2 linked regions of the Cricetulus griseus genome follow. The protein of the gene in region 1 interacts with the protein of each later gene in a pairwise test. Links are inferred from orthologs where the notes say so. Each region holds a gene or a part of one and is shown in the gene's direction. Other genes may lie near its edges.

Region 1 (7,023 bases):
CCCCGCCCCTGCCCACCCCACCCACCCAAACCTTTTCTTCCTTGTCACTTAAAGGATTCTTTGAAAGGAAAAGCTGGAACCAGAGGCAACACCTTCTCCTCCTTTGTTGGCTTTCTGTCCCTGCCAGAGCCTGCAGGGCTGTTCTGGAGAGTGGGGAAGGGAAAGGCTGGGCACTGAGCAAGGCGGGGCTGGGCACCAAGCAAGGGGGGCATTGAGCAAGGAGGGGGAGAGAGAGAGAGAGAGAGAGAGAGAGAGAGAGAGAGAGAGAGAGAGAGAGCTGAAATTCATCTCAGTTCCATTTGTCAAGTTCTGCTAGTCTGAGAGAACAGGAAGGCATTTCTTGACCTGTAGGACTCTTCCAGTCTGGACCTTTCCCTTTCCCCCTGCAGAGGCAAAAGTCAGCACACAGTGGGTCCTAGAGCATGACCAGAGACGATCAAAGCGCCCTGGTCCTCCCCACAGCCCTGTGTGCTGTGCACTTGCAATTCCAGCACTTGGGAATTCCAGGAGGCCGGAGGACCAGATGGTCTGTGCTTAAGTAGCCTGTGCTACTTAAGACCTTAAAAAATTTGCCCCTCCACCTGCCCATGCCCCATTTTGCCCACACCTCCACCTTATCATCTTCCAGCCAGCCCTGTGCTCACTGCCCAGTGACCCAGAAGCCCCCAGGCCTCTCCAGGCCCAGCCCACTGCCTGCTGAGCCCCGAGTCTTGAAGCCAGCTTAGTGGCCCCCGCAGAGCCAGGGCAGCCATGAGACCCACTTTCCTTCCTCCTCCATTTCTGCAGACGCAGCCGTGAGCCTCAGCAGCAGCATGGGCAGTGCCAGCCCAGGCCTGAGCAATGCGTCCCCCGGTTGCCTGCTGCTGTCCCCAGATGTAGCGCTGCGGACAGGTGTGGAGAAGTCAGAGGAGGGAGCAGTGGGCCCTGAGAAGCGGGAATGGAGCCCCAGCCCACCGGCCACCCCTGAGCAGGGCCTGTCTGCCTTCTACCTCTCCTACTTTAACATGTACCCCGAGGACGGCAGCTGGGTAGCCAAGGTACCCGCGGCCAGTGCCAGGGAGGAGCTGCTGGAGGAGCCTGAGCAGTGTCCGGTCATCGACAGCCAGGCATCTGGGGGCAGCCTGGACGAACACTCGCTAGAGCAGGTGCAGTCCATGGTGGTGGGCGAGGTCCTGAAGGACATTGAGACAGCATGCAAACTGCTCAACATCACAGCAGGTGAGACCCTCCCTCCCGCCCACCTCCACACGGGACACAGGCGGGGCGGGGATCTGCTAGATGGACTCTGATCACCTTGGGCAGCAGAGACACACAGCAGCTAGAGCCAGGGCCATGCCCAACCGTACCTGCCCTCTCTTAGCGGACAAGAGAGTCCATGCTCTGTCCTGTCACCCGGCTTCCTGCCTTTTCTGAGACTCAGCTCCCCTCTCCGGTCTCCTTTGCTCTGGCTGGTCCTTCAGCCTAGAATGTTTTCCTGTAGATAACTCCTTAGCCCTTCCCTGGCCTTCTTTGGGTCTTAGGTGACTGCGTCCTCATGAGACAGCGGGTCCTCTGTTGAGATTGTATATCCCACATCCCACCCTCGCTTCCCCATTGTCTTGCTGCCATGCTAGGTTTGCCATCTGAAGTTCCGAGAGTATGTTTGTCCCTACCTCACTTTCTGTGTGTACCCTCTAAAGGACTTGTGTACCCCAGTTCCTAGACAGCACTGGACGTGACTTCAGCCTTCACCCTTCAGGGACAGGATACTAGGCAGTCAGCAGGACATAGAGGTCCCTCTGTCTATGGAGCTGGCATGATGAGATGTCATTAAACTGTCAACTGATGGGGAGGACTCTGATGAGGAGTGGTACGGCTGGGGAAGTGAAGTCCTGGCTCCATCCTGCAGCTTTCCCATGGGAAGGAGGGGCTTCTCTTTCCCTCACAGCCAGCTCCTGCCCCCACCCCCTTCTGCTAGATGCCCCCAGGTGGTGTCCCCATCCAAGGCAGCTCCTGTCTCCACTTTCCCACACTCCAGAGAGCCCTACCCCAGGAGGCTGGCTCTCCCACAGTACCTCGTCCCCTGTACCTGCTTGGGAGGGCTATGCTCTCAGAACAATGGGGACAGAAACAAATTGCATTGACCTCAAAGGAGAAAATGGCTTTATGAAGTGGGAGCTGTCTGGCTTTCAGGTCACTCAGCTGGGACACTGGCTTGAACCAGTGTTCCCCTGGAGGCCTCACTGCCACTGTGACCCAGTCTGGTTCCAGCTGTGTGCCCCTGAGAGCAGCTTCCCAGGGGACACATAGCTGGTGAATCCATTCTCTACCCTCCGCTGATCCATAGCCATTTGGGGCAGCTGCTATGAGCCCAGCTGTGTGCAAAGCATTGGACAAGGGATGCACCCCCCATGTGCCTCAGTTTCCCCTTTTCTAAAATTCCAGGATGGAAGGGTTCCCGGGTGGGTTTTCTCCTTGAAAAGAATGTGGATGGCAAGTGGTATCTGGCTGTTTGTGGTTGAATGTCAGTGTCCCCTTCAGAGCTAGGGTCTCCAGAAAGGCCCTGTGGGAGGCTGGACAGACAGACACCTGAACGTGACGGGTTACAGAGGCAGCGAGCTTGTGCTAGGGCGGTGGCTTTTCCTTCTCACTTCCTTTTTTGTGGAATGCCTGCCACCACAGGGCCCCTCAAGGCTTAGGAGCTCAGGGTCCTGGACACAAAGCCCCACATGGGTGTTGGGTGCTGCTCACAAACTGTCCCAGCTAGGATGCTGTCTCTTGCCCAGACCCTGGGGACTGGAGCCCTGGTAACGTGCAGAAGTGGTTGCTGTGGACAGAGCACCAGTACCGGCTGCCTCCAGCAGGCAAGGCCTTCCAGGAGCTGGGCGGCAAGGAGCTGTGCGCCATGACGGAGGAGCAGTTCCGTCAGCGTGCACCCTTGGGTGGAGACGTGCTGCATGCCCACCTGGACATCTGGAAGTCAGGTGAGAGATGAGACAGCTCGGGCCAAGTCCCTGCTAGCTCCAGGCCATTATGCGGAGATCACAGGCAGGCACCCGGTGCCCGGTTCTTACTCTCCCTTTTAAAGGGAAAACCCTTCTTAAGGTTAGCTTTATGTTTTATTGACGAAGGGCGGCTCAGTGGATAAAGGTGCTTGCCTCCAGGCCTGACAACTTGAGTTCGATCCCTGGGATCTGCATGATAGGAGAGAATGAACTCTCCCAAATTGCCCTCTGACTTCTACAAGAGTGTGGGCACACCTGTGTCTCTCTCATCGGCACTGTGGAGGATGCTACAAGTGCTCATTGGGTCAAGGCCCCTTGCCTTAGAGGTCTGGGATGAATGGGGGACAGGGCCCACTCAGGTGACGCTGTGAGCGGTCACTGTCTGCCCCGACCCAGGCACCTGACCAGTGAATGTGACCTGAGCAGAAGGGCTTTTGTCCCCGGCTGATGGCCTAGCAGTGGGCAGAGCGGGTGGCCGCCTGGCTCACTGGAGGGGAAGGCCTGATGCAAAAGCCAGGCCTCGGCGCCTGCCACCTAGCCACAGCCGCAAGGGAGGTCCCTGTCCCATTTCACAGTGAGGAAAGGGAAGCCCCTCCACATGGAGGCGTGCAGTGAGCCGCAGCTCTGACATCCCCACCCCTTGTTAGTACCTTGGGACCCTAGAGGGGCGGGAGGCAGGGAGCTGTGGGCCCCCGGGCACAGGTGTCATCCGACCTCCCCTCCTTGTCCCACAGCGGCCTGGATGAAGGAGAGGACCTCGCCCGGGGCCCTTCACTACTGCGGTGAGCCGGGCAGGCGCAGGAAGGCCTGGTGGGGCTGAGGGAGGCTGCCCGGGAGAGTGGGTGGTCGCGGCTGCCACTCACGCTGCCCCCTGGCTTGCAGCCTCCACCAGCGAGGAGGGCTGGACAGAGGGCGAGGTGGACTCGTCATGCTCAGGGCAGCCCATCCACCTGTGGCAGTTCCTCAAAGAGCTGCTGCTCAAGCCCCACAGCTACGGCCGCTTCATCCGCTGGCTCAACAAGGAGAAAGGTACAACCCGCCCACACGTCCATCCTTCATCCTGCCCGGAGGGGCGGGGCTTCTGTCCCAGGGGCAGGGTGGGGAGGGGAGGCAAAGCGGGGTTTCTGTGGGGTGGAGCAACAGCTGGGAGAGGGGGCAAGGGGGCGGGGCCTCTGGTAGGCAGAGGTGCGACGGGCAATGGGCGCAGGGCTCTGATTGGGGCGTGGCCCCATCCGGGAGGGGCGCTGGGGGTGTGGCCTCGACTGACTCCACCTTCACCCTGGGCCAAATGTGCCCAGAGATCCACACCCCTGCAACTTCAAGGATTTTGAGGTTTAGGGTGCTCTTGGTATCCTCGTTGGCTTCACCAGACTTCCCCCTGTACTGAGACTCCTTCAGCGCCTCACCGTGCCTGGAGCACAGTGCGAACTTGAGAGAAGGGCGTGGGGGGGCACAGGCCTTTAAGGCCAGCGCTAGGGAGGCAGAGCCTGGCCGTGAATTTTACACCACCCCTGTCTACATAGAGAGATCTTATCTCAAAAAAAAAAAAAAACCACAAAAGAGCACAGAGGCGGGGGATGGGGGTGGGGGGACAGGACTGGAGAGATGGCTCAGCGGAGGTCCTGAGTTCAATTCCCAGCAACCACCCGGTGGCTCACAACCATCTGTAATGAGATCTGGTGCCCTCTTCTGGGGTGCAGCCATACATGCCGGCAGAGCACTGTATACATGATAATTTTTTATTTTTATTTATTTATTTATTTTTGGTTTTTCGAGACAGGGTTTCTCTGTGTGGCTTTGGAGCCTATCCTGGCACTCGCTCTGGAGACCAGGCTGGTCTCTAACTCACAGAGATCCGCCTGCCTCTGCCTCCCAGGTGCTGGGATTAAAGGCATGCACCACCAACGCCTGGCCATGATAAAAATTTTTGAAAAGTATTTTTGGTCTTTGAGAGGGCCGAGGTTCCCAGCACCATGTGCTGTCCTCAACTCTAACTCCAGCACCAAGAATCTGATGCCCCCACTCTGACCTCTGCGGGCACCAGGCGCGCACTCATACACACACAAGCAAAACATTCATCCACATGAAATAATAAACCTTTATCAAATCTTAAAAACCATAAAACATCATGTTTTGGGGGCCGGTGAGACAGCTCAGTTCGGGCAGGCACTTGCCACCAAGCCTGAAGACCTGAGTTCAATCCCGCCGGATGGAAAGGGAAACAGTTCCTGCAAATTGTCTTCTGACATGTGTGTACACCAGGGCACATTTTCACATAGTCATGAACAATAAGTAAATGAGTATAAAAAAATCAAAAGAAAAATCATAGTTTCAACCTAGAGAGACTCATGGTGTCTACCAGAGACACAATGTGAACCCTGTATATATTAAATGTTCTCGGTCCAGAATCAAAATATTTAAAAAACAAGTGAATTTCACTTTCATGATGTAGGTTGCCTGACCTTTAATACAAAATTCCTAAATGCTCCCTAAATGCAAACTCTTCAGACCAGCATCATGGACTTCTGGCCAGGAAAGTCTGTCAAATAGTCCTAAATCCTAAAACTCTTAAACTCTGATGCGGTTCTCACCCCAAATTTCAGACTAGGGGTACTCAGCCTGCATTCAATCTAACACTAAGCTGGAATTTCAACCAGTAATAAAAGTGAAATTATTGAATGCGTTTGCACATGCCTTTAATCCCAGTGTCCCAGAGCAGCCAAGGCTATGTAGAGAGACCCTGTCTCCAAAAGAAAGAAAGGAAGAAAGATGTTTGCTGCCTCTCACGGCCTGTCCCGAGCCTAGGGCTGGAGAGGCTCCCAGCATGTATCCCTTACGCTTCCCCCAAAGTGACCCACGGATCTTGTCTCTCTCCTTCCCTCGACCTCCACACGCCCCTCCTCTCTTCCCACGCTCCTTTCCCCTAGGCATCTTCAAAATTGAGGACTCCGCACAGGTGGCGCGGCTGTGGGGCCTGCGTAAGAACCGGCCGGCCATGAACTATGATAAGCTAAGTCGCTCCATTCGCCAGTATTACAAGAAGGGGATCATTCGCAAACCTGACATCTCTCAGCGCCTCGTCTACCAGTTTGTACATCCTGTCTGAGAGCCACAGAGGCTGGAGGCCCACTGCCTGCTCCAGACAGCCACTCTCCTGCTGGCCTGGGCCTTTGCCCAATCGGAATCCCCAGAATCCAAGGTCACAGAGAAGGTCACTTGTATGGGGCTACACATGAGCTCTCTGGGTCCCTCTTCAGGTCATACTGCTCAAGTACACAGACCCCTGGAGGGTCTTGGGAGCTAAGACTGCTCACAATGGAGAAGTTCCCATCCCAGGCTTGGACTGTGGGATTCGTAGAGAACCACCTACATCACACAGAGACCGGACCAAGGCAACTCACAGGACAATGACGTTACTGCTTCCTGCCCCTGCCACCCATCCTGTAACATGACTGGCATGGTGCTAAGAAATGTCTGTACCCTGTGTTGGGGACCCAGGGGTGCCCTAGGAATGGATAATAAACATACAAGATAACTGACAGGTCCCCAGTGTCTGGCTGTGGATGGCACAGCCAAGAGGCCAGCAGGGGTCAAAGGTGACTATGGTCACAGGTGTCTAGGGTGGTGACCACAAGGAAGGTTTGCCCAGGGAGGTGTCATGGAGCCGAGCCGAAGAGAAAAACAGTAGCTGTTTGGTAGATGTCATGGAAGAGGCAGGGAATTCTCCAGGCCAAAGTAGCTAGTCTAGCCAGCCACTGTGTCCTCCTCACCCTGGCATGGCTGAAGTGGGAGATGACCAGACCCAAAGACAGGAAGGCAGCCTCTGTGCCTGCTGTTGAAGGGCAGGGCTTGCTGCCAGGTGTGCCCAGGTATGCCAAGGGTCTGGCTCTCCTGCAAGAGGCCCAGAGCTCTTATATGTGCTTGGCCACCTAAGAAAGCTGAGCCACCTGGTGGGCTATGGGAGAGAGTGGTGATTGATTCTGTTTATGGTCAGTGGCTTCATGAGGATGGTGTGTCTGTTGCCCAAAGGCTTACCAAG
Region 2 (6,601 bases), on another chromosome or scaffold:
AATGGCTGAAGTAAAAACAAATGCTGATGAGGATGCAGAGAAACTGACCCTTGCTGCTTGTGGAAACAGTTGTCACAGACAACTGGAAGAGCTCTGTTTCGCACCTCCTGTGTCAGCCATTTTTTTTTCTGACCGCTGTAACCAAATATCCAACAGAAGTAATTTAGGGGGAAAAGATTTCCTTTGGTTCATGGTTTGAGGAGGTAGCCTGTCATAGTGGGAGGAGCAAGATGCTGTTTGTTCACTTCTCAATCAGCCAAGAGACACAACTTGCTCTCTTCTCCCCTCTTTTTTTTTTCTGTCTTAACCCACAAAAATGGAGCTACATTCAGGGTAAATATCTGCCCTTCCTCACCCCAGTTAACCTTCTCTGCAAACACCCTCACAGGTACACCTAAAGGCGAGCCTCACTAATGCCTTGGTCAAGTTGGTGATCCAAACGAACCATCAAATCACTCACCTCATGACACAGCAACTGGACTCATGGGCAGAGAAATGAGACTTCCTGCATTAGGTTTCTGTCACTGCAACCAAATACCAGACGCAGAATAGTTAGGTAAATAGACAATTATTTTAGTTTGTGAGTCTAGAGATTCAAGTCGGAGGCTTGGGGGCCTCAGATGAAGGCAGCACACATGACAGGAACATGGGCTAGTGGGAGAATTCACACACTGGGGTCAGGAGAGGAGTGGAAACTGGGTTCTAAAATCCTTATGTCCTCCATGACCTGAGGACCTCTGATTTGACTGCAGCTCTTAAAGGTCCAAAGCACCTCTCCAAAGTACAACCCTGGGAAACAGCATTTACCTGTGGGCCGGGGAGGGAGGGTAATTTATCCAGACAATACATACACATGCAATAAATAAAATAAGATGCTACCACGAAGGACATTGCAGTTGTTATTTTTGCAATTTCCTATGAACCTCTAACTATTTCAAGCTATGTATTTTTACATTCTTAAAAGATAACACATCTAGGTAAAATGCAAGAGGAAAGCCAGCTTCTCTGAAGGCCTTTTGGTTACCCCTCTCAGTGTCCTCCGCAGTTGCTGCATTCTCCATGACCTGTTCCCTTTCCTACTCCCCAGATATACAACGGACTCTTCTGAGCAGATCCAGCTGAGTGGAAGATGCCTTAGACCACTGTAGACACATATTGCATAAAGTAATTCAAAAGAACACCAGAGTAGGCTTTGCTAATTTTCACTGAATGTTACTATTTTAGCCCATTCCTTTTATAGTTCATACTATAGGTGACATAGATAGGAAGCCTGCGCTTGAGTGTTCATCTCTTTTTTTTCAGGTTTTTTGTTTTGTTTTGTTTTTGTGGGGTTGGTTGGTTGTTTGGTTTGTTTGTTTGTTGTTGTTTTTTGTGTGTGCGTGGGTGGTGGTGGTGGTGGTGGTGGTGGTGGTGGTGGTGGTGGTGGTGGTGGTGTTTAAGACATGGTCTCATTATGTAGCGCTGGCTGGCCTGGAACTCCCTATATAAGCCAGGCTGAGTTGGAACTCACAGCGTTCTGCCTGTCTCTGCCTCCTTTCGCTGAATTTAAAGACATGCGCTGCCCACATCCGGCTTGAGTGAGTGAGTATTTCTTAAGAATATTGTTTCCTGGGGTCACAGTGCGTGGTCAACTCAGTAAATGTAACACCGCAATACTACTTTGACCTTCCCTGTGAGATTTTTGCTGGTTGTCCTGATGTGTCCCGCTGGGAATCCAGTGGGGGCTGGAGTGTACCGGCTGCCAGGCCTAGGACAGCCTTAAACTCAGTAGATCTGATTCTGCTGTCCATTTCTCTTGTTATTTAAACAATTAAGGTAGGTGGTAGAGACCCGCTTGTTCAGCTCGATGGGCCAGGACGCTTTGCCATTTCTGAGAACTACACTCAGGTCTTACACATAGCGTTTGGGGTTTGTGGCCAGCCTACGGAAAGGGCTTGAGCTACCTATGGTGAGAGGGAAACCAGAGAAGGCTAAGGGCGCATCAAGGAAGGATTCTGGAGCCTACCAGGGGCAGGACTGGCCTCTTCGCGGTCACCTGGAGCCCGCGGCAACCAATCCGGGCGCAGCCGTGTCCCCGCGGCCAATGGGCAGGCGGCGCGGCGCTCCCCACGGGTATAAGTGCGCGCGGCCGGAGGCCAGCAAAGCCGGCGCGCAGTGGAGGCGGGATGCTCAGGGCGGCAGACCCCCGAGAGGCGCGGGTGGAGGCGGGTGGCCGCAGTCCCTGGGCAGCGCCTCCTTCTCAGTCCAAGCGGCTCACCTCCTTCCTCATCCAGGACATCTTGCGGGACCGCGCGGAGCGGCGCGGGGGACACGTGAGCAGCCCGCAGCACCCGCGCCAGTCGGACCCGAGGAGTGACCGCGCACCAGACCCGGAGGAAGCAGGAGGTCGCGGCGTGGCTCTAGCGGACCAGCCAAATACCCGACCCGGCCCCGCGGAGACGCTGGCTGAACCCGAGACAGGTAAGCAGAATAGACCTAGAGGTGGGCGCGCTACACTGAAGAAGACTATTCCCAGGCGGGTGGCCCCGAGCTCTGGATGCAGGCGTGCGGGGCCCGTGGCCACCGGAAGGACTTCACCGTCCTCGGCACCGAGCCACGTTGGGCATCAGTCTTGAGGGCTGCTAACAACTTTGCCATCTGCTTGACTCTTTTCCAGCGACTCCAGCCGGTTACCGCTGGCGACTAGAACTAAACGATAAACAAATAGTGACCCATGAATATTCATAAATCAAGCTCATCCCCAGGCTCCCTTTGCGTTTCCATTCCACGAGCTATAAAATTATGGATGTTCCTTTAAGTCTTTAAAATAACGTCGAGTCGGCTTTTGCCGTCGCCCCACCCCCACCCCATCACTTCTTATGCAGGTAACTAAGCCTCTGTTATAGAAAGAGGATTGGGATAGAAGATGAACTGGCCACCAGCCCAGGCCACCAGGCTCATCTCCATAAGCCCTAGTCACCCACTTAAATGCCCCCCGTGACGCCTCGGTTTCCTTGTTGGCGCCTCCCATCTCTCTGCTACACACACGTATCCAGATTCCTGTTTTCAATGACATAAGAAAACATAGCAGAAAGTTTAACTGTAAAACACTAAGCCCTACGCTTAGTTCACACTGATTATTAGAAACGAATTCATAGTATAAAAACCTACTCATTTCTCCTTTGGGGTAGTTCCATAGTCAGGCGTGGGGGGGGGTGTAAAAAAAAAAAAAAAAGAGGACAGTGGTTGTTTGTTCGCTGGCCAAAAGCAGAAAGGTGATTTGAATTCTGGACTAACGTGTAACTTTTTTTCTTCTCCTGCCCCCTCTGCTCTTCTCCAGATGGGCATTTTGAGACTTATCTGTTGGACTGTGAACACACTCCAGGAGACTTATCAAGCACCCCCCAGGTCCCCAAGCCGCCTCAGAAGCGCTCCAGGGCTGCTTTCTCTCACACTCAGGTGATTGAGCTGGAGAGGAAGTTCAGCCATCAAAAATACCTGTCTGCTCCTGAAAGGGCTCATCTGGCCAAGAACCTCAAACTCACCGAGACCCAAGTGAAAATATGGTTCCAGAATAGACGCTATAAGACTAAGCGAAAGCAACTGGCAGAAGACCTGGGAGTCTTGGAGAAGAGCTCACCTTTATCTTTGCCAGCCCTGAAAGAAGACAGCCTATCCAGCACCTCATTGGTCTCCATGTACACCAGCTACCCCTATTACCCGTACCTCTATTGTCTGGGCAGCTGGCGTCCAACTTTCTGGTAACAGCAGTTCTGATGACAACTTCATAGATCAGAAACTGCCTTCCCGGAGAGTCTCTGGGGAAAAGACGGAATGGCTGAGGTCAAGGAGATGGGAACAGGACGTGTACAGACCCAAACGGTTGGGGGTTCCCAGGGAATGTTCCAATTCTTCTCTGGTGGGTCAGTGAAAGATCGGGGGCAGTGGCTATTTTTAGTATCTAGTCACACAGTTCCAAGTGTTCTGTAGGTCACTGCTCTCTGCTCCCTGTCTGGAGAGGGCCAGACAAGTTCATCTGTTTCTAGACCTCAGCATGACTTTGGATGCAATGGCTACAAGGTTCCTAAGAATTCTGTCCCTGCAACCTCATCCTCTCCCATATCTGAGCACCACATAAAGGCCAAGGGAAGAAGGACCCCTTAGATGCGGGTGTCCTCTTGAATTAAACTTGGGTTAAAACATCTCCTGTTGGCCTTGAACAATGGCCAGTGTTTCTCTCTGCCCTTGTAAAAGTGAGGGTAAATGGAAGATTTGAAGAAAAAGAAAACAGACCTTAGCGACTGAGGCAGGTTGGCATGGGGCATAAAGGGGGTGGGAGATGGAATGTTTAACCTCTTAACTCTTTTTGCAGTAATATACCAATTCAAGGATTTACAGGGCACCCTGAGTGGAGCAGGGTGCACACAGTAAGGGGTTTAAGACAAGCTGTGTAAACAGTTTGCCTGCCAGGGTGGGCCTTGAAACAGGCTCTTCCTGTCCAAGGCAGGGCCTAGGGAGTTTCCACACTTCAGGTGAGCGCCTCAGTGGTGACTGACTGAAGAAAAGGCCTCTGCCCACCCTTCCTGCCTTCACAGAGAGCTTAGTGGGGAGCTTTCAGGTCTGGGTTCACACTTCATTATGACAGAAGCAATAGCATTTTATAACAAAGGATCTTCCTTTTTTTTTCCTTCTTTCCTTCAGGACTTCTCAGTTCAGGCTTTTAATCTATGCATGTGTATCTTATTTAGCTTAAGATATGCAAACCCCCCTCAAGTTTTATCTTTCCTGGTTTAAAAAAAATAACTACAGATTATAAATTGACCAAAAGACATAATTAAAAAAAAACTAGCAACTTTCTTTCCTTTAAAAATACTCAACATCAAATTCCTTTTTAAAGACATGAGAGTTGAAGATCACAGCAGCTTCACAGGGCTGTGGGCTAGGTATTACAGTTCAAAGGCTTACAGCCTTGGGGTCCTGGGGATCCCTTTAGGCAGAGGAGGTTTAGTGCTGTCCAGTTCTCATGCAGAAGGAAAAACAGTACAAAGCAAGGGATCTAAGAGAGGTGGACAGGCCCTGGGCAGGGCATGGCTGTCAGCCCAGGCCAACCAGCAAGCAAGGGGCTGGTAGCTTTGCAGGAAGATGTTCTAAGGAAAGAGAAACTGTCTTCAAAATGCACCATCACGGTGGCTTCATCCACAGATAAACCGTGTAAATGCTCTGGAGAACTGTGTAGATGGCAAAAGAATGTCAGCCCTTCCATTTCCATCCTGTTGCCTCAGGTAACCTGATGAATGGGAGACATGGAAGGTAGGGTACAACTATTACAAACGAGGCTTTCTGGGGCCAGGAAATCCCTTTATCCTACCACTCAATTCTGTGCCATGAGACATCTTTTAATTTCCTCCTTCTAAATGGGCCAATTTACTGGTGGTGGCAAAACTGCCAAAGGAGTTGATAGAAATTTGGCCCCTTGCACCTGGTATTTTGTTTTTTAAACAGCCTAGGAACCATGTTAAAGTATTGTTTGCTGCCTCCTGCTGCTGACCACTGTGGCAGTGCTAGATCACACAAAAGGCAGAGGAGTCCAGTTCACTTCTCCTTTTAATCTGTGGGTTTTTTTTTTTAAATCATGTTAGTGCTGGCTTTCTCTCTCATTCTGAATTGAATCCTTTTCGGCATGAACTTTCCCAAGGATTAAACTGCAGCAGTGCACAGTGTGTGGCAAAAAAAAAAGAAAAGAAAAGAAGGGAAAGCTTGTGTTTAAAATTATTTTGACTCCGTTTTGCTTTCTCACCACTGGAACTAGTCACTCACCTACACCTGAACTGGTGGAAAATATTGAAACATTATCTGTTGTCTGGAACATGTGAATGGGATGATGCCTGGACCATATTACTGGGTGACCAATCTCTATCCTGTTTCATAAATCAGCAAATCCCACTCTGATCTGTGACATAAAAGTTTTATGACTTGAAGTTTGGTAAAGCACTCTAATCAAGCTTTATTTTTCTATGTATTTTTTGCAACATGTGAGTGTTTTTAAAATAAAGTCTTCATGTCTTTATTAAACACCTGTGTGTGGTTTTTAGCTTCTTACAAATAGTTTCTTTTTAGTGTGTTTTCCCAGTGACCATGTTCTCACAGCACCTTTGGCTGGGCTGGCCTGACAAACACAGGAGCCATCCATCTAAGTGGCAATGCAGCACACAGCCAATGAGGGCCACTCTTTTAGCAGTGGCTTTTCCTCCCACCCTGGTAAATCAAGAGGAGAAAAAAGCTACTCCTGCCTGTGCTGGATAACCACCTGCAGCAGGTGTTGTTGCTGCACCTGTAATCCCAACACTCAGAAGGTAGAAGCAGCAGGATCACAAGTTCAAAGCCATTTTTTGCCTACATAGTGAGTTTGAGATCAACCTACTACATGAGATCCTGTCTCAAAAAACAAAAGACCTCAAAAATAAAAATACTAGGTCTTGAGATACCGTGTATGTAAATGAAAACTGTTCACCTTTTTAGTGACTCTGGGAGAACAGGGTGACCACGGTTTTCAAAAAGTCCCTTTTCTTGTCTTCCCTGGCCCTCTCACTCCTAAACTTGTCACCTATGTTCAAAGTCCTGT

Evidence for each region.
Region 2: the proteins of Spdef (region 1) and Nkx3-1 interact in a two-hybrid assay, tested with the Homo sapiens proteins (2 studies listed by BioGRID). The link is inferred for Cricetulus griseus from reciprocal best matches to the Homo sapiens genes SPDEF and NKX3-1.

Annotation. Positions count from the first base shown.
Region 1 is NW_023276806.1:232,853,361-232,860,383, reverse strand, and holds the end of Spdef (SAM pointed domain-containing Ets transcription factor), read left to right. Parts: intron 1-786; 5' UTR 787-812; coding exon 813-1,218; intron 1,219-2,765; coding exon 2,766-2,963; intron 2,964-3,718; coding exon 3,719-3,766; intron 3,767-3,866; coding exon 3,867-4,013; intron 4,014-5,911; coding exon 5,912-6,090; 3' UTR 6,091-6,520; downstream 6,521-7,023. UniProt on the Homo sapiens protein: May function as an androgen-independent transactivator of the prostate-specific antigen (PSA) promoter. Binds to 5'-GGAT-3' DNA sequences. May play a role in the regulation of the prostate gland and/or prostate cancer development.
Region 2 is NW_023276807.1:224,107,356-224,113,956, forward strand, and holds Nkx3-1 (homeobox protein Nkx-3.1), read left to right. Parts: upstream 1-2,165; coding exon 2,166-2,460; intron 2,461-3,319; coding exon 3,320-3,744; downstream 3,745-6,601.